4 linked regions of the Drosophila melanogaster genome follow. The protein of the gene in region 2 purifies or fractionates together with the protein of the main gene of each other region. This does not show direct contact. Each region holds a gene or a part of one and is shown on either strand. Other genes may lie near its edges.

What was found.
Region 1: the proteins of fax (region 2) and Idh3a purify together in Drosophila melanogaster (affinity purification with mass spectrometry, with the first as the bait; one large-scale study listed by BioGRID). This does not show direct contact.
Region 3: the proteins of fax (region 2) and Scamp purify together in Drosophila melanogaster (affinity purification with mass spectrometry, with the first as the bait; one large-scale study listed by BioGRID). This does not show direct contact.
Region 4: the proteins of fax (region 2) and p23 purify together in Drosophila melanogaster (affinity purification with mass spectrometry, with the first as the bait; one large-scale study listed by BioGRID). This does not show direct contact.

What each region holds. Positions count from the first base shown.
Region 1 is NC_004354.4:19,518,579-19,523,671, reverse strand, and holds Idh3a (isocitrate dehydrogenase 3a), read left to right. Parts: upstream 1-1,867; 5' UTR 1,868-1,972; coding exon 1,973-1,999; intron 2,000-2,275; coding exon 2,276-2,344; intron 2,345-2,844; coding exon 2,845-3,012; intron 3,013-3,373; coding exon 3,374-3,768; intron 3,769-3,840; coding exon 3,841-3,976; intron 3,977-4,046; coding exon 4,047-4,385; 3' UTR 4,386-4,541; downstream 4,542-5,093. Other genes in the region: CoRest, read right to left, coding at 43-177, 238-285, 357-576. UniProt on the Drosophila melanogaster protein: Probable catalytic subunit of the enzyme which catalyzes the decarboxylation of isocitrate (ICT) into alpha-ketoglutarate.
Region 2 is NT_037436.4:16,408,809-16,413,826, reverse strand, and holds the start of fax (failed axon connections), read left to right. Parts: upstream 1-1,998; 5' UTR 1,999-2,408; coding exon 2,409-2,825; intron 2,826-5,018. Other genes in the region: Serinc (serine incorporator), read right to left, coding at 24-579, 947-982. UniProt on the Drosophila melanogaster protein: Together with Abl, involved in embryonic axonal development.
Region 3 is NC_004354.4:15,445,645-15,451,572, reverse strand, and holds Scamp (scamp), read left to right. Parts: upstream 1-1,689; 5' UTR 1,690-1,805; coding exon 1,806-1,868; intron 1,869-2,064; coding exon 2,065-2,292; coding exon of another isoform or gene 2,293-2,340; exon of another isoform or gene 2,341-2,714; intron 2,715-2,992; coding exon 2,993-3,194; intron 3,195-3,548; coding exon 3,549-3,678; intron 3,679-3,742; coding exon 3,743-4,151; 3' UTR 4,152-5,394; downstream 5,395-5,928. Other genes in the region: Ahcy (adenosylhomocysteinase), read right to left, coding at 1-178, 716-906, 1,158-1,182.
Region 4 is NT_033777.3:9,676,323-9,680,198, reverse strand, and holds p23 (p23), read right to left. Parts: upstream 2,273-3,876; 5' UTR 2,130-2,272; coding exon 2,113-2,129; intron 1,638-2,112; coding exon 1,551-1,637; intron 1,480-1,550; coding exon 1,223-1,479; intron 1,157-1,222; coding exon 963-1,156; 3' UTR 541-962; downstream 1-540. Other genes in the region: nmdyn-D7, read right to left, coding at 1-118; Nepl12 (Neprilysin-like 12), read right to left, coding at 2,480-3,475, 3,535-3,876. UniProt on the Drosophila melanogaster protein: Cytosolic prostaglandin synthase that catalyzes the oxidoreduction of prostaglandin endoperoxide H2 (PGH2) to prostaglandin E2 (PGE2).

The sequences.
Region 1 (5,093 bases), on a different chromosome or scaffold from region 2:
CAACCCAGAGATCAAATGGGCAAGTAAGCCACTAATACGTACATTTCAGATCAGGAATCTCCTTGGTGGGCGACCATACGAGGAGGGCGCGTTCGTTCATTTGTTCCGGGCGGCGCTCCGCTTCCGGAACGAGCGGCGGACAAACCGCCTGGTAGTCGCGTCCAACGCGGATTTTCTCTATGAAATGAAAATTTGTTTAAAGACCACATCGTGCGGAAAAAGACTACAGGTACTCACCTTCGTACTCAGACTGCTTGGCCTTGCTCTTGCCGTTCCGTTTGGTGGCTGGAAAAGGGAGACGGTACAGATAAGTGGGCTGAAGTGGCAGGAAGGTAATTCCGGGGCGTTTCACTTACAGTTGTCGTCGTCGGAGCTCTCCGGCGTGCCTGCACCTGGCACAGCTGTGGTGGTCTTCTCGTTCGCATTGGCGTTCCCGGAGTGGCCGCTGTTGTTGCCGCTGCCCACGAGGCTGGCGCTGTTGGTGACGCCGCCCGTGGTGTGCGTATTGGGACTGGGGCCGCGCGAACGGCGCCCGTTGCGCACCACATCCGTGGTGTTGCGCTCCGCCAACACCATCTTGTCCCGGATGAGCTGGGCGCGCTTGTTATGCTTCTCCAGGGTGCTAGTTTTGGCTAAACACGAGCACTAGCGAACACGAGCACTGCGGAGCTGCAAGAACAGTGGGGACATGTGTTAACGACTGATTCGGACACGGATGACAGCCGTACTCTGCTCTCCGGCTGAAAAATCCAGCAAATAGAAACTCTGCACCGCGTTTGGCGAGAGTGTGCGCTTGGCAAGAGGCACTTTTCCCGCAACGAGCGCAGAAGTGCGCTGTCAAACAGATACATTCATAAGTGTGCGTGCGTCCGTGTGAGCGTATGCGCGTGTATTGCGTGTGCTAGCGACGCGTGTATAGGTGTATGGGTGAGGGCCAAGCCAGCTGAGTTTGGAAACGGCAATGCATTTGGATTTGAATGCAGGAATCCGAATCTGGCTGGACGGAGGGACACGGAGGGACTCGGAGGACGCCTACCTGGTACTCTGGTGCCCCACAAGCACACAACCGAAGACGCTGCCACACGGATCTCACTGCACGTACCGTTTTCGCCCGCTTACGCAGTACGGCCTGCCGGACGCGGAGCTGGGGCTACTTGGAAAGGAGTACTCTTGGCCAGAAACTCCAGATACGGAACGCTGCGAACGGCTGGTCAGTGGAGTTGTTGCGCGCAGGTAACTGAAATCCAAACTGAAACGCGGAAAAAAAAACTCACTCGCGTACCGATTCTCTCTGGTCGTCCGTGGGCACAGCGCACTTTGTCGCCGACGACCGCAGTTCAGCTTTGTCTGTCGGTTGATCCGATTTTTTGCCCTCGCCTGGCTTCTCGACAGGCGGCCCCTTGGATTATCCTATCCCCGTTTTCGTTGGAGATCGAGAAACGGCTTCGCTTGCCCCTTTTTGATGGACACTCTCAGCACTTTTTCTAGAATATACGTCAGAAAACTGAGCGAATGCTCAAATTAATTTAAACTGTGGCTGTAGCAGCCACGGTTGCAAGGGATACACAAACTATCGATTAGGCCGCTCCGATATTTCGCTTTTGCCCTGTACAGGGATGCCACACGGCAGGCTGTACTGAATTTCGGGCAGACGACATCGATATTCGACATCTGTTTATTCACAGCCAACTTTAATGTGGTTTTACGCCATACATATGATGCTCGTACAGCAATTATGTGACTGATGCAAGCGAGAGCATACAAATACGGGGATATGGGTGATTTGTAATTCCACCCCCATCTGAGCGCAGTCCAGGTGGCAACGACGCTGCCCCCGCATGCCTATCGACCGATATACCGCAGATTCGCCAGTTTTCCGCAAGGTGGCGACTACGGCGGGCGCAGACTAAAAAGACAGACTTTTTTCTATATAATATACGGCAGGAATCAGTGCAAAAACCGATCCAACGCAATGGCTGCTAGATTCATACAGAAAATTGTAAGACCCGTTTAGGCTTAAGCGACTTGACCCGCCCCGCGTCGCGCCTCTTAACCCCACCATACAGCGACCAAACCAATTCTGCAGGACAGCAGTTGATTACGTGCTGGCCAAAAAGTACTGGCCAACTACCACTAACATTGCGATTTTGTTTCTCGTCCGACGCTCCTGCCCTCCAACTCCACGCCCGCTAACCAACCCTGCAAACCACCGATGCAATGATCTGCGATTCCGCGATTCCCAACGACAACAACACATTACGCAAAACACTTGCAGCTCAATCAACTGGGTTTGATTGCAGCGCGTGATGCTCCGGCGGTGACTGCGACGCCAGCAGTGAGCCAGGTTGGTTCCATAACAGCGGCGGCAGCGACGGAACCATCCGGGATCCGCAGTGGGGGCCACCACCTCCTTCGCCAGGACATCAGCTGTCCGTCCGGCGAAAACGAAAAGAGCACAGCATTAGAATTCGCATTCACTTTACATAACACTCTCTCTCTCGCTCCCTCGTTGCGTGGCCGAGATATCGATAACGGCGGGCAGGGCGGGTGGTTCGGACCCTCGAAAATCCCACCCCCTACTCGAGAGGCGGGAAAAAATCAGTTACCGAGATTGGGCCCTGATTTGCGGCCTTATCAGCGCCGTGGGAATCATTTGTGCACTCTAACCTCAACGCGACGAACTGTTTGGCACGGGGGGTAGGGCGGACGGGATTTTTGTTTGGCATGGGCACTTATGTAATCCCGCTAGATGCTGCTGCTGTTGCTGCTGCCCATCTATGCGTTTTCTCGCCACCATTTCTGTAGATCACTCTGTAACCCGCCTATGGTCTTGCTATTTTCCAGGTCAACGCGACTCCCGCCGCCAGCCGGTCCTACTCCTCCGGCACCAAGAAAGTCACCCTCATCCCTGGCGATGGCATCGGACCTGAGATCTCTGCGGCCGTGCAGAAAATCTTCACCGCCGCCAATGTCCCCATCGAGTGGGAGGCCGTGGACGTGACCCCCGTCCGGGTAAGTGTCGTAATCCCAGCCAGAGTTAGTGGTTCAACTTGACATTTCAAATCCAAGTTGAGCGCCATCGCCTTCGAAGCGCGTGGCCGTTTGACAACAGGTGGCAACTACGGTCGTCTGGGCGGTAAATTTGAAATACAACCAGGCTCTAGTTAACATTCCATTGCCATATATTCGATATAAATGCCAAATCAATGGATACGAATCCATGCAATATTTTCGCCAAATATTAATTTGCTCTGTTAAAAGCCAAAAAAAAAATGCATACATATGTCGGAGAAGACGACACATATATAAAACAATTTGCGAGCTAGCTTTATTTATTTACTTCTTATTTCATTTGTGCGTGACATGTTAACAGGGACCCGACGGAAAGTTCGGCATCCCACAGGCCGCCATTGACTCGGTGAACACGAACAAGATCGGCCTGAAGGGTCCTCTGATGACGCCCGTCGGCAAGGGCCATCGGTCTCTGAATCTGGCCCTGCGCAAGGAGTTCAATCTGTACGCCAACGTGCGTCCCTGCCGCAGTCTCGAGGGCTACAAGACGCTGTACGACGATGTGGACGTGGTCACCATCCGTGAGAACACCGAGGGCGAGTACTCCGGCATCGAGCACGAGATCGTCGACGGCGTCGTTCAGAGCATCAAGCTGATCACCGAGGAAGCCTCCAAGCGTGTGGCCGAGTACGCCTTCCAGTACGCCAAGAACAACAACCGCAAGAAGGTCACCGTGGTGCACAAGGCGAACATTATGTAAGTTGGCCACGAGAGCTACTCTTTTTTGTTGTTGTGAAACTAATGCTATTTTCCTACCATTTCTCACAGGCGCATGTCCGATGGTCTCTTCCTGCGCTGCGTCCGCGACATGGCCCAGAAGTTCCCAGAAATCCAGTTCGAAGAGAAGTATCTGGATACGGTGTGCCTGAACATGGTCCAGAACCCCGGAAAATACGACGTGCTGGTGAGTTGAATTACGCAGTCGCTAAAGTATAGTATCAGCGACTAAGCTAATGCCGTCTCCATAATGCCAGGTCATGCCCAATCTGTACGGTGATATTCTGTCTGACATGTGCGCCGGTTTGGTGGGCGGCCTCGGCCTGACGCCCTCCGGCAACATGGGCCTGAACGGTGCCCTGTTCGAGTCTGTGCACGGAACCGCCCCCGATATTGCCGGCAAGGACCTGGCCAATCCCACTGCCCTGTTGCTGTCGGCGGTCATGATGCTGCGCCACATGGAGCTCAACACGTACGCCGATAAAATCGAGCGTGCCGCCTTCGAGACCATCAAGGAGGGCAAATACCTCACCGGCGATCTGGGCGGCCGTGCCAAGTGCTCCGAGTTCACGAACGAGATCTGTGCCAAGCTGTAGACGACGGATCACGGACCATCCGCATAAGCTGTAGCAAGTATCGCCAACCATAACAACAACCGATGAGAACAGAGCAGAGAATTACGCCAGGAATATTGCGCAGAGAAGGAGGATGATGCAGTATGAACAACAGCAATTAAACACTCGCCCCAAACCAAAAAAAAAAAAAAAATGTAGCAGCAGCAGCAGCAACAGCAACAACAGCACTCACTAAACTTTGCCGAAAGTTTCCTACGTTTCCTACCTTTTTACAAATTGTGCCAGCAGCACCGCTCGCCCCGAAAACAACAACAAAATTTCTATATAGCTAACACTACCTAAAGTATTTTTATGTTCGAATACCTAGGTATATTATTTAATTTGCTTAGGCCAAACTTGCAAGCGTTAAAATTCGTTAAATTGCCAATTTTACTTGCGATAGTAAAGTATTTTTGTCGCCATCCAGCCAACACCTTGAGTTATTATTGTTTATATAATTCGTATGCAAAATGATAATCTTATTTAATTTATTGATTATTAATTCTCTAATTTGTTTAGCCCCTTGAGTTGAGTTCAGTTGAGTTAAGTGAGCTCCTTGTGCTGTGCAGCGTGCAGCCGATACTCTTAAAAAAGAATAGAAAGCAATTTTTTGTCAAATTCGAGGCAAAACGTGTGAACGTGAAGCCAGGACTAGTGGAAAGTTGAGTGCAAACGGTTACAATAATTTAA
Region 2 (5,018 bases):
AGATGGGCCGGAACATGACTCACCTATCCAGTTTTCAGCCAGCGAGTGAGCGAAATCCACAATGATGACCAGCTGGACGAGTATGAAGGCCAGGCCACCAATTAGACCCACCCACATCATGGCCGGACCAAAGGATCCATCCGGAATAAAGATGGCTCCAATCGCAGCGCCAAAGCAGATCAGAAATTTCAGTGGCCAAAAGTTGTTCTGGATGTGCGAACGCGGATCCCTGGAGCTCTTCACACCCAGCATAATCAGTGACATCAGAGCGAAAAAGCAGGCCATGCCAAAGCAAACCCTATATACTGCCATGTAACCAAGTGCATACTCGCAGTCGACTTGCAGAGATCCTCCCGAGACAGCGCTGAGTGCTCCCGAGCTATACGACGAGGTGGAGTTGATGCAGAAGGGCATCTTCTTCAGGGTGTCCTGCAGTCCAGGGGACAGCGCAATCGCCCCCAGTACGGTGCCCACCAGGAGGATGAAGGCGTACATGAAGCGCGATGAGGAGGCGTTGGTGCAGCTCGGGCAGGCGGAGCAGCACATGCTGGCTGCAGTGCCTCCACAGCACATGGCGCACTGGAAATGCAAGAATTAAGTATTAAATGGAGACGCAATTGAAGAATTATTCTATTTGATCCAACTTGCTAATAAGTTTTGTCAATAATCCGGATTAATTGAATGATCAACCATCGAAAGTTAAGTTTGCAATACATTTTTCATATTGTTTTCAACTTATTAAAAATTTAAAAATTCATTAAAGTATCTAATAGCTCAAATTGCAAGCTAAATCTTTCTTTTAGATGAAAATCATAGCAGCATTCATGAGTATTGTGAAATTAATAAAATGTTGAATTTCTCCGCATTTGAAACATATGTCTGCTTTTATTGATTTGTAGCCAATGTAAAGAATTTTACCTGGCTAATTAGCTCGCAATTTTCTTACCTGAGCGGCTGAACAGATGCCCAAAGCAGCTCCCATTGTTGCAGCAATAAACTTAGATTTTTACTTTAGTCAAACTGCGTTTTTATTAAATTAAACAAATCTTTGTTTGTGAAAATGATAGAGATGGACTATTTACTGCCTATAGTGACTATCGAATACAGCGGCTGGCGATATTTTTCAGCAATCGTAAGCAGTTGTAAATTTAAAAGTAAATGGGATCAATTCTTTCGCATATTTGCATTTTAAAAATGCTCTTTCAATGTCTTAAATTTTTCAATATGTTTCAAATTTTAAAATTTATAGTTTTAAAATTGAAGTAAATTACTGCAATTTTCTGTACTTCCACAGTTGCCATGCTGATTTCTGCAAAAGTCGGGAGGTGCCATCCGTTCCCTATTCAAATTTCAAAACTTCTGCCACTCCCTCCCAGATGGCGCTTTGCAGTTTCTCAAAACAAAATAGTTTGTCTCCTAAAATAAACTAACAAACGTTATAAATAAACATAAAACATTATTGAAAGCTGAATGAGAGAGAAAGTTCAGATCAATTTTTGTGAATTAAATCATAAACTAATATTATATTTTGAATTAACTTAACTATTGTAACAGTTATTGATAGAGTCGAAATAGGTAATACAGAAAAAGGTTCTATTGATAGTAGTTTTAAAAGGGTATCTGTTCAGTCAACCAGCTAATATTACCGCTCATAAATCTTTAAATGTGTACATAAATGGAGATGTTCTTAATTTTAATAAATCTAGTCGCGAAACTCGAAACTTTACCTAAGGATCGAGAAAACATTTGTTCATAAATTGAGCGTAAGCATAATGGAATATTATTTAAAAAGTTACTTAATATCATTCTTTACTTGTGTTATAAATTAGTTGCTTATAATTTAGGTTGACTCCACAATTTTAAAATTTTTACTCATATAAGTTTTTATAAAATCTATTCCTTGATCTTAATTTCCAGTCACTGGAAGTGGGTTATTTTTAGTGCATCTGCACTCGGCCGATTGCATTCGAGAATACGTTCGCACGCGGCATCTGGCCACACTGCCTGCAACGCTAGCTCGCCTTCGCAACGCGAATCCGCTCATTTCAAATTTTCAAACTCCCGAGAGCGGTTGCGGCGGTGTCGAGACAGCGGCTCCTGAATCCATCCGAATCCGAAAGCGAATCGCATCCAGCCAAGATATCCTATCGTGCAGCTGAAACCCGAAACCCGAATCCGAGTTCGAAACGAAACGAATCGCAGTGGTGGTTTCTCTCTCGCTCTCTAGCTCTCCCTCTCTCTCGCGTGTGTGTATGTGTGCGAGTGGCAGGAAAAGTGCGAAGCCGAAATCTTTTTAGCTGAAAGAAAGCGCAACTTCAATTAGCGAAAAGCAAGAGTAGCTAACAAAAAGAAAAGCGGATCGAAAAGTAAAGAAAAACAAAAAAAAAAAACAAAAGCAACAAATCGAAATGGCAAGCGAAGTGGCCCAAATACCCGCCGAGGAAACGCCCGCAGTGGCGGCGGCGGAAAAATCAGAGGAGCCGGAAAAGTCAGCGGCCCCGCCAGCGGACTCAGCGGCCGCTCCAGCTGCCGCCCCCGCAGTGGAGAAGGCTGAGGATGCCGATGGCGAGAAGAAGGACGGCGAGGCCGGAAAGCAGGACAAGCAGCAGGATGGCGAGGAGCCCAAAAAGGACGAGGCGGTGGCAGCACCCGTGGCGACCAAATCGGAAGCCCCGCCCGCCCAGAAATTCAATGTGCACAAGACCAACTTCGAGAAGGACATCATCTATCTGTACCAGTTCTCGCGCACCCCACTGCTGCCCTCCCTGTCGCCCTACTGCCTGAAGGTGGAGACCTGGCTGCGTCTTGTGGGCCTGAAATACGAGGTGAGTGGTGGTCATAAATCCGGGGAAAAAAACCATAGAAAATTCATGAAAACCTCATTATAAATCGAGCCATCATTTGGCATCCTTCAAAGTACCCAGGATAATTAGGGAAAACCCAAAAACGGACTAGGTAGAATCCCAGGAAGAGCCGAAAACTCTCAGATATTCCAGAAATCCCAGATTTTCAAGGCATTTTTGCGGTACAGATTTTTTCCCAGCTCCTGCGGGAGAGAGCGAGAGAGCTCGGGGAAGAGAGCCAGCGCCGCCATCATGGTGTGCTGCTAAGCCTGCCCGTGTGCATGTGTGTGTGTGACCTGCCCTGCCCCGTAACTGAAAAGGGATACATTTGTGCCGCCTTCCCTCTCTCTCCCAGCGCCCATGCCTGTGTGTGTGAACCTGTAGCCTGGTCCTTTGCGCGTGTGTGTGTGCACAGCGTATACATAAAATTTGTGTGTGCGCCGACGCCGCCCCTCACCCCTTCATCTCTTTGTGCTCCCCTTTGCAAAAGTCGTGCTTCAAATTTTGCACTTGCCGACTCTCTCCTTTTGTCTCGCTCCCTCTCTCGCCGTCTGCTCTTTGTCTTTTGTTGCTGCACTGTTTTTTTTTTATTTCACTTTTCTTTCGACTTCTTTTTGCACTGCACGAAAAGTTGTCATCTCTATGCGCTGCATGCATCTTTTCTTAGCATCTTCGAGATCCATGCAACTGTGCTCTCACTCCATCCACACAACAGCAAATTTTCTCTCTGTATACTTTAGCAGGAGCAGCAGCAGCAGCTTGTAATTGCTTTTAATAAAAATTGATGCAGTTTAAGCTGGACTCAGAAATAGCTGTCTCCCTCTTCGCCTTCCAACTCCCCTTCTCCTTTTCCCTTTCTTTTCTTATCCGTTAAGTAGCTGTAATAGTGTTGGGGGCTGGGTGGGGGGAGTGGCAGACAAACAACTGTCAACGACTTCCAATGGTGCCTTCCATTTTGGCTTGTTGTTTTTTCCTTCACTTTTTAAAGCGCGCGATGCGGTTTGCATATTTTTCATATTTTTTCTGTGCGAGAGGAAAAGCGTGTAGTATGTGGTAGTGGCCGGGGGAGAAATGGGTGCGGTCACCCGCACAAAAACTGGCGACGCAATTGCTGTTTAATCTTATTAATTACATTGGTTAATGAAAAACGAGCCCCTTGCGCGGAATGTTAATTGATGCCGTCGCCTTCCAGATGCCGATAAGCAATCGCCCCCATATGTTGCATTCCACGAAGCAATTATGATTGACAGTCCGTCAGTGGCCGCTTTTCGGCCCGCAGCTGGAAATTACTTTCCATTTTCACGATTATTCCCAATTCCACTGATAAGGCGCAGGCTGCCCAAAATACGGCGGCATTCGATTAGTAGGAAGGAGGGAGTGGGGGGTGGGTAAAAAAAAGAGTTCAACAAACTGGGGACCTTTGACATTTCTGGCATGGTTTGTTGTTGCTGCAGCGCGGCATTAATCATGGAAAAAAAGGGAGGGTGACTGACTGTAAATGCAACTGACTAAGCCAGTTTTCCCCCCTGCTGCTTGCGCTCGGCTGCATTTCTTGCCTGCTCTCCTCCTTTGTGTACACACATTCGTCAGTGTAAACAAGAGCAGAAGTTGTTTCTTTATTGATGATAAACCGAATGCATATTTTTTTCACACCACATTGAAGGCGGCGCCCATTAATAAGCACAGCAGCAACAACAACAACAACTGGGCATAAGTTTCGCTTTTGAGGCGGTGGCCCGCATTGCTAGCATTCCTGAGTGTCGCGCTCGTAGATTGTGCAATTAATTTACATTTTCTCTGCCATATGCATTGCGGGCACAGAGCGATTAAAATTCAAATGGAAATGCTGGCGCGCCATTGCATTTGTGCAATATTGCCGGGCTGCAATTTCAAGGTATTCTGGCAACGCTGCTGCCTCTCCTGCTGCAACTGTACATGTGCGAATGTGTGCGTATCGTATGTCCATGTGTGCGTGTGTGTGTATGTTGGGAGGAAATGGAGTTTTTTTGCTTCTCGTTTTTGTATTTTTTACGTTTTATAGCTGCCTTTGTTTTAATTAATAAACCGCATATTTGCATTTAAACAACACACAGTGGACGGCCTTTGTTGTTGCTCACTCGCTCCAGTGCAATTCTCCCGCTCTCGCTCTCTCTCTCTGGAACTTCTGTGCAAGGG
Region 3 (5,928 bases), on a different chromosome or scaffold from region 2:
CATCGTCCAGGATCATGTTCAGGGGCTGGCCGTCGGGGAAGACCAAGGTCTGCTCGATGCACCACATGTACTCCTCATCGGTCTCACCCTTCCAGGCGTACACGGGCACGCCGGTGGCAGCGATGGCCGCGGCAGCATTATCCTGGGTGCTGAAGATGTTGCAGCTGGACCATTGGACCTGGATAAAAGAATGAAAATGTAGTTCATGCGTTGAAGTTGAGATGTGGATGGGAAGGAACCTAAATTATATAGATATTTGCAAACTGATTTGCATTGCATATAGGATTGATCTATATCAGGAAATCTATGTATTTCAGGACATCAGCATTTGGCAGAAAATAGTTGCCATGTGCGAGGATTGAAGCAGATGGTGCTGCGTCAGAGGAAATAACAATCTGGAGGTCTTATCTTGGGCGCCTTGAACTTGCCCCCCTGCTGTTAAACGAAAGTTTTGTTATTCAAATTGGTGCGTAAACCAAAGGTGATAAGGGACCAGCCCTTGGACAATGCTTGGAGATACCTATCTTTCTACCTAATTTACAATTTCCTTACGGAATTTTGGTCGGTTTTATGGTTTTTGAAATGGTTTTTAGTATTGAAATGATGCTATCTTTGTGTATTATCCCGACTGTTCAGACCTACAGTTGGGCATACAATTCGAATGGTGGTACGATGCATAAAATCATTTAGAGCGCCAAAGAGGCACTGAACCCACCTGAGCGCCCAGTTCGACGAGGGTCTCGATGAGCACGGCGGTCTGGACGGTCATGTGCAGGCAGCCGGTGATGCGGGCGCCCTTGAGGGGCTTAGATGGGCCGTACTTCTTCCTGCAGGCCATCAGACCGGGCATCTCGTTCTCCGCAATAATGATCGCCTTGCGTCCCCATTCCGCCAGACTGATATCGGCTGTCGAGTGGGATATAAAAGGGAGATAGGGTCAGATAAGCAGGCACTGTTGATTTATACACCATACGGTCTGAATTTCTACGTTTTTTGCCCCAGCAACAACGTGCTCTCCTCTGTTTTGTCTCTCTTTTAACCTCAGAAACATGTGCTCATGAATAGATGCAATTCACCCGCACATGTCGCCTGTTGCCGGCCGGAGATTCGATTCGAGAGTTTGCCATCCGTTTGGGTTTATTTATAACGCAACTCACCGACTTTGTAGCTGGGCTTCGACATTCTTGCAAGGATTGGATGTTTGACTTGGATGCGGAGCAGACAGAATCGCACACAACCGAATTGGAGACGCGGGCAGCGGTAAATGAATCGAATCGCAACCCAAGACACTAGAATTCCAATTGCGGAATGGCGGCCCCAGGGATGGGAACTGGTTCCACGCAGCTGGTTCAGCTGGAGCAGTTCCGATTGGCACGATTGTTGCCATTTAAATTTAAAATTCATATGATAACTGCTGGTTTACATCCAATTGTATATAGAATCTTTTCTTTTTGCTATCATTTTAATAAAATGTATTAATAGGTCCTAAAAAATCAGACCATTGTATACCAGTTATTCACATTTTTCAGAATTCTAGATTAATGTTAAATGTGTTAAATAATAAGTTTTTCTGCCAAAATGAATTTAATATGTAATTCAAATAACATTAATTCTTTAAAGTAATTCTTTCGATATTTGAGGCCTACACTTTGATTCCCAACGAAAGCTTATCGATGCTGAACCATCACTAAAACCGACATCGATAACTGAGCAGAGTCTTAGGGAAAATATACACAGCGAAAAGCAAAGTGCGAGTCAGTGCGTTTTTCTGGTCATTGAACAGCCGTATCCAAAGTAGAATTCCCATGTCCGGCTCCGGTCTCGACGAGAATCCCTTCGGGGAGCCCAATCTGGACAATCCGTTTGCGGTGAGGCGATAGAAGAGCTAGGAGAGAGAGCGCGGAAGCCGAAGAAAAAACCCATCGCACACACACGCACACGTACGCAAAGGTGGGGTGTTGGTGTGCGTGCCTGTGAGTGTAGTGTGTGTGTGTGTTGGGTGCATTCGTCACATATGTTGAATGAATTGGTTTCTGATTGGGATTTCCCGGTTTTCCCCCGCAGGACCCCGCCATCCAGCAGGCACGACGACTCCAGAGCGGCGCCGCCCTTGTCTCTCTTGAGGATTACAATCCATTCGAGGAGCAGGCCAAGCCGCAGCTGCAGATCAACTCAACGAACACGGCGGCGGTGGTCCAGCCGCTATCGCAGAACATTCCGCCCCCGCAGACCAGTTCCCTGGGCGCCTCGGCGCCTAGCACCAGCATACAGATCACCTCGGAGGAGCTGCAGGTAACCCACTTGGCCGGTCGTCTCGCGTTACCGCCCACACAACAGTGAGCACTCTGCGGTGTGCTGTGCCGGCATGGCCACATCCGCAATACTCCAAAAACCGCATATGTACATCCAAATACTCGGAAACAATCGAAATGGACCACACCACACAGTTACACTAAAAGTTTGCCCTAAAAGTCTGTACAGTAATCACTTTGCTAGAGTGCCGGGATTAGGGCAGGCATATCACATTTTACTCTCCATCAAGAGTCAGAAAGATAAGCGGGCTTATCTCGATCTGCCAACGATATATCCGCTTTGGAGCATTTATCTGGTTGAGACTAGAAGCGGCTGCCGCGCCGAGTCTTCACTGTGCAAACTGCGGTTTCTCTTGATTTACTTGGCTTCTTCGGCCCTACACAATAATTCAAGAAATACTAGTTAGTAGATCTAAATACATATGATTTGGAGGCTTAAGTTTGCACTTTATTCTTGTACAGAATATTTCCTATAGATAGGCCAAATGCCTGAGGTTAAGATAGAAGTTTAACAAACTCAAGATTTGGATGTGAATTCCTATCATTGAATTTCGCCTTTGTTTTCCCAAATATGTAAATGAATAAGATTTAAAGTATTTACCATATACGGCCAATTTATTAAGTCATACAAAATGTATATATAAAACAGTCGATAATCATATGATTTTCATTGTATCCAGCGCCGGCAGGAGGAGTTGGACCGCAAGGCCGCCGAACTGGACCGCCGCGAGCAGCAGCTACAGGGCAATGTGCCGCAGCTGAACAACTGGCCACCGCTGCCGGATAACTTTTGTGTAAAGCCGTGCTTCTACCAGGACTTCGAGGTGGAGATACCGCCCGAGTTCCAGAAACTGGTCAAGCGATTGTATTACATTTGGATTTGTGAGTATTGGTTCTTTATGGCTGTGTTTTCTACATGTTTTCGCTGATAAGCGGTGCCATAGGTTGTGGAATTAGTCATCGCGTGTCGTCTACAGGCCGATGCCATTATTAATCAGATATAGCTGAATGGCTAATGGTCTTGGATGTGTGCGTGCCTTTGTGCAGAATATGCTTGCAAAGAGGGGAGCATGAAATTTGTTTGATTTACATGTTATCAGTATTAAGATAGTTTTTAAATGCATTTCTAGCATTATTTACTGCATGCATAGTATATAGTATATAATAATGCTTTCCCCTACAGATTATAGCATTATGCTGATTGTATGTGTCTATTTTGAATACTTTCTCCGACAGTTTACACCATGACGTTGTTGGCCAACGTGATAGGCGGTCTAATTTTGCTGTTCCACGCTGGCGAATTCGAGACCTTCTTCCTGGCCATCTTCTACACGATGCTCTTCTCGCCCGCCTCCTATGTCTGCTGGTGAGTTTATACCTGGAAGATTCTTAAAACATGAATAATGTGATGATGTGTGATTAATTTTCAGGTTCCGACCGGCGTACAAGGCATTCCGCAACGATTCGAGCTTCAACTTCATGGTCTTCTTCTTCATCTACTTCTTTCAAACGCTGTACTCGATTGTGCAGGCGGTGGGCTTCAACAAGATGGGCTACTGTGGCTTTATTACGGCCATCGGGCAGTTCGATGGGCAAGCGTCGGGTATTATCGTCGGCATTCTGCTGTTGAACGTGGCATTCTGTTTCACAGCGGTGGCCGTGGCCAATGTGCTGATGATCACAAAGATTCACTCGATCTACCGCAGCACAGGGGCCAGTATGGCCAAGGCCCAGGCGGAGTTCACCACCGAGTTTCTGCGCAACCAGCACGTCCAGGAAGCAGCCTCCTCGGCCGTTAATACGGCCATCAATTCGCAGTTTAACAACAGCAGGTACTAAGTGACACTCTGCTTTCCGGGGATCTAATCAAATCAAAAGGAGAATCAATCAATCAACCACGAACTCAAGCAGCACTCATCCTGCTTAACTGGGACAGAAAAAGATGATGATAGCCGCGCCAGAGAGAGGGAGATGGAGAAAGAACACTTAATAAACATTGAAATAGCTTAACACGAAATGAAAGTAAAGAAAAACATGAAACTAAAGCTAGCATTGGAGCATGGAACTAATAACTATTTGCTTTTGTGCATAAACAATTCCTAGAATGCCGTCGTCTTTATTACAAATAATTACTGTAATGATAACACAGAAACAACACACAATGCATAAACAATATTTATAAACGGAACAAAACCGAACTTGGAACTAAACTGAAAGTGAAAAAAAAACCAAACAAAAAGGAGAAAACAAAAAAACAAAAGGAAAACTAAAGCGGCCCACGATGCCTTCGACACGCAGCTGCAGCGGATCAAGTAGACAGGACATCTTAATCGCACGATATATGCCTCCAAATACAAGTATCTAGACTAAATTATTGTGTGTCTGTCTCTGTCCTGTGGAATAATTCGATTCTGATACTAACCCAGATTAATCAGGCGAAAGGGATGACACTGATGACGATGATGCTGCTGCTGCTGCTGCTGATGATGATGTTTTCTAGTTCTTTAAGTCATTAAAACGATATAGGAATAACCCCACTCCCTCGCACACGCAACACACACACACACACACACTCACATATATACGATCTTATATATATAACAAACATAATATAAATAATATATTTAACGCTTACATTATAGAACTTTATCTCTCGTCGCCTCGACCAGAGAGACAACAAGAAAGCGAAATTCATTTTTCATCCAAGCTGTGCTCCTACGCCCACTGCTCCACTGTCCCCCTCTCCTCCCTCCCCCCTGTTCCATGTCCCGACCCCCTTTTTCCGCCGTCACTGTCCTGCACTCACATAAAATGTCGTGTTTTTTTGTAATCGTAATTGTTATATATTATCTATTATCTATGTACATGAAGACAGCATATAAAATATATTGATTCACTTAAGTATTCACATTTTTTAGATACATTTTGTTCGTTTCTGTTTTGCTTGCAAGTCAAACTTATTATGTTACGACCTATTTAAAACTGAATTGAGAATAGCTAATGACGATCTATGGATGTGTATTTAAAATTCAAGCAAAATTTATGATAAATTCCAAAATAAATATAAAATACTTATAGATGTACAATAAGCATTGATTTTGAATTTATGGGTTGTTTGGTACTCATTTCTAGAGAATTCAAATGCATAATTTGGTGCGTAATTAAAGGGGTATAAAGACTTTTGAGATATTCATATTATTTATCTGCAAATCCCAGCCTTGAAACGCAATAATCAGGCTTAAATTCTTGGTTTATTACTGCTGGTTATCTGCATGGAGGTATTTACACAATTTATATAATAGATAGAACTGCCATCAATGCTTGTGTTTATATTAGTCAGTTTGCTTATAGATTTTAATCTTGAGTTTGTTTTGTATAAATAAATTCCAATAAAATTGAAAACCCCACAAAATGACTGGCAAATAGTTCGGATTACCGCCATAATCGACTCTTAATTAAGAGGAAATGTACAATGTCATTTAAAAGTGCACGAAGACCTTTGATTTCGAGAACTCATTCGATGGAAAATCAATTAGCAAGAAGAAAAGTTTACGTAAGCCAGTCGGTAATTAAGACGATTGAACATGGTCGAAAGTGAATGTTCCTGGAAATGCAT
Region 4 (3,876 bases), on a different chromosome or scaffold from region 2:
CCTTGTCGGATACATAGTAGGTGATCAGAAAGGTGCGTATGATTCCAGCCTCTGCATGGAACCACTCGGCCACGAAGGCCAGACGCCGCTCGCTAGCCGGAATCGCAGCGGGTTTCATGGTATCGTTTTGAGGGGAATCTTATACCTTGCTTTTCCGTTCTATCGCTTGACAGCAAGTCCTTTATTTCGAGTGATAACTGTTTGTTTGCTTTGCATTTCAATTGTGCTTCTTCTTTCCCGCGTTGTCACAGCAACAGTGTTGCCAACATAACAAAATTCATTTAAGTGGGCGCAAAATTTAAAGAAAAAAATACCTATGTTAATTTTAAACCCAAATTCTAGGGGATTACCCATAAACAATTTTTAACCATTACCTATAATTTCTTTTTAAAATCGCTATCTATTCAAAGATAAAGCCTTCTTTGCGACATCTTTAAGAAGCTGGACTGCGCATTCCGAATTTAACAGTTTAGAGATTTCTAGAACATTTATAGAATGTTGTAAACTTATAAAATATTGAAAATAAAAAGCCGAATATAAGTTTTTCATTTTTTTTATTGTTAATTTCCTTTATTTACAGGAAACAAAAATAATAAACTGCAAACTGATTTTTGCAATAAATTGGTTGTAGCTTTCCTCTGGTTGTTAAATTCTAGCGTAAAACTTATGGTTTCCCTTGTCGGCGCCAAATCATCTTGTTCCTTGTGTTGCTTTTTGTTAACATCTCTCCTCTGAATACGCATAATATTCAGGTATATTAAATGTGGTTTTCTTCGATTGGAATAGTGTTTCATGTACGCATGCGTTTGTGGATGTTTTATGAGTGATTGAGTGTTTCTTCTTTTTCTTTTCTGGTGTGTATGTGAGGAGTGAGTGTTGTGATCGTGTGCTGACTTATGGTATAAGAGCCACGCCTAACGCTACGACTACGCCAAATTGCGAGACACCATCTGAGCGACCGTCTAGGCAGCTGGCTTCTTCTCCTTATCACCCTCGCCGCCCTCCTCGTCATCCTCGTCGTTCTGGGACAGACTTGGGATGTTGTCATCCGAGTCCTCCTCCTCGTCATCGACGTTGAAATCGTCGAACTTGTTGTTCCAATCGCCACCAGGGCTGTTAAGGAAATTTCCAAACATGCTGTTGTCTTTTTGGTCACCTGCAAAGTGCGTTTGTATGAGTGGGTTTGCTGGATGAGATCTTGGGGATGAGGATGTCAACTTACCCTCCTCGTCGTCGGACTCATCGCGCCACTTGGCAAAGTTGGCTTTTAGGAAATGCAACTTGGTCTTGTCCGTGGTCAGCGAGGACCAGTAGGGACCGGCCGCCTTCTTGGGTATTGTGAATTCCAGGCAGCGGCCAATGTTCTTGCTGGTCACCTTCTCGGGATCCACCTCGTGGAGGAAGTTCAGTGTGACCTCGTACTTCTTCGACGGATCCAGCACGTTTACGCCCTTGAAGGTGAAGGTTTTTTCCGTAACTCTGTTTTGGGATAAATATATGGAATTAGGATGTGCAAGGAGCATGGACATACTACATATGGGGGCATATACTTGTGTTCGATGTCCTTGCATTCGACATCGATGATGACGTAGATCAAGTCATTGCGCTGGGCCCAGGAAACTGGAGGCGGAATCAAGCTGCAATGGAGGATCAAGTTGGATAAACATAAATAAGAGCTTCATGTCGTTGTGCGAGATCCGTTGCCATGGCAACTCGCGTCGGACTTTCTGGAAGCGGGTGCACGAACTATGTAAATAGCTTCCCAGCTAGCTAGATTTGCATAAACCATAAGCCCAGGCAAAAGTCCATGCCGAAAATGCACGGCATTACCGCCAGCCGAAAACATAACCTCAAACACTGGACCCTCCGATTAGTTCCACAAATATCGCAATGCAGATGCGCACAGGACACGCCCACCGTGGACACAAACGCTTGGCCAGGCGGATGAGCGCGAGAATAAGGGTCATCCGAACGAAAATTATGTGTTTTTCACGGCCGGGAGTTCGAAAATGGACGCCGCCGCAACGACAAAGCACGCGACGCACAAAGAAGCCACAAAAAGATGGTCCGGCTATCGCCGATTGGCACTGAGATGGCCGGTTGTGGACTCACCCTGCTGCTGCCGACATTATGTTGTTGCTGTGAATTGTTGGTTTATGTTTTACGAAGTCGGAACACTTCTGACTGACAGCCTGACTTGGTTACAAAAAAAGGCAGTTTCTGTTGAACAAAATTGTCATGCACAAAATTGACATGAGAAACAGAGTTACCGAGCGCGCTGCGGAGATGTGACTAAATTTGAACGGTGCTCTGGGGTGCGAAACTTCGATAGTTGTACTCAAACCACAAATGTTAGCTTGTTACGTGTAACGTAAATTTGAAGTGTTGTGTCAAAACATTTTACATTGTCGGTAAAAAGTATTGAAATCAACTTTTATTTGGTTCAAGGAATTTATGATGATGATTATAAATCTATGATCTACCAAAGTCGGCACGTTTTGGCGCCAGGACGCATGCCGCTGCCCACGGAGCAGTTGTAGGCGTGGAAGAAGTCCTCGCTGTTGGACAAAACTCCCAGGACACGAAATTGGTCGAAGGTGTGCACATCGCTAAGACCTTTCCAGTAGTGCTCCTCCTCGTAATGGGAGCAAAATAGCTGGGCAAATCCCAGGAAGAACAACTGTTCCGGCGTGAGATCGAGACCCGGCATGGCGTCGCTTATCCTCTCCTGCCCAGGATGCTCCAGCAGTTGCTGCCTGTGACTGCGATAGGCCGTCAATGCTTGTCTTAATCCGCTATTGTCTGCGATATTCTCGTCCAGTGTAGTTTTTCCGTTGACACGCCTGCTGATCTCCGGTACCTGGTACTTGCCATAGTAGTCCATGTAGCACTCGGCGCGATCCTCTAATGCCTGTTGCGAAATTTCCGACAACAAGGACTCCATGTGACCATTGCCATCGAAATAGGAGCTGGTCGTATCGAAGCCGTGGATGAGTTCATGACCAACGATAAAACCCAATGTGCCGAATTTCAGGGAAATCGGCAGGTGGCGTTGGTATATCGGTGGTTCCACCACGCCAGCCATCACATTAATGGAGTTGTCCGGAGTGTAGTAGCCCGCTCCAACCTGCAATCCTGTCAGGATCTTCTGTGGCTTGGTGTCATTGGTCAGCTCCTGAAAATGCCGACTGCTAAATCGATTGATTTGTACAACTAGGTGCTGCAAATTAATGTTGGTCTCCGCATAGCGATCCTCGATGACTTTCAGACTGTTGATTTCCCGGATTATTCGATCCGAAAGTGCATCATCTTGGAACGAACCAATGCGTGGCTGTATTCTGGACTCCTTAAGCAGTGCCCTCGCCCTGCTCTCCGCATCCAGCCAATCGGCATCCTCCAGCGCCTTTCGCAGACTCTTTCGCAGTTCCCGCACCATTTCCGACATCTCCAGCCTCTTCGCCTCACTGAAGTTGTTCTGTAACACAAGAGTGTTGAGATTATTTGGTATTCTCATCATACGCATTCGTTACCCACAGCCATGTAGAGTTTGTTGAACAGAAACCGCATGGATTGATAAAGCGTAACCGAACAGTAGTTCCTTTGGTACCTGGGCGCCTTCAGTTTGGGATCGAATCTATAGAGCAGCTTCATGGCCAGGTAGTTGGCCACAGCCTTGCGATGTCGGGCGCATACTTTGTCCAGTTCAACGTAGTAAAAGTCGCAGAATAATTTGTTAGTGGAGTGGAGTCCACTCCACGAGATGTTATAGTAGTACTCCGATTGGGGAAACACTCGCTTAATTCGGTAGGGATCAAACACTTCGCACTGGGGCGGGATCTCGAGTGCGTCCCGCCAGAAGGCAAAGACCCCAGCGAT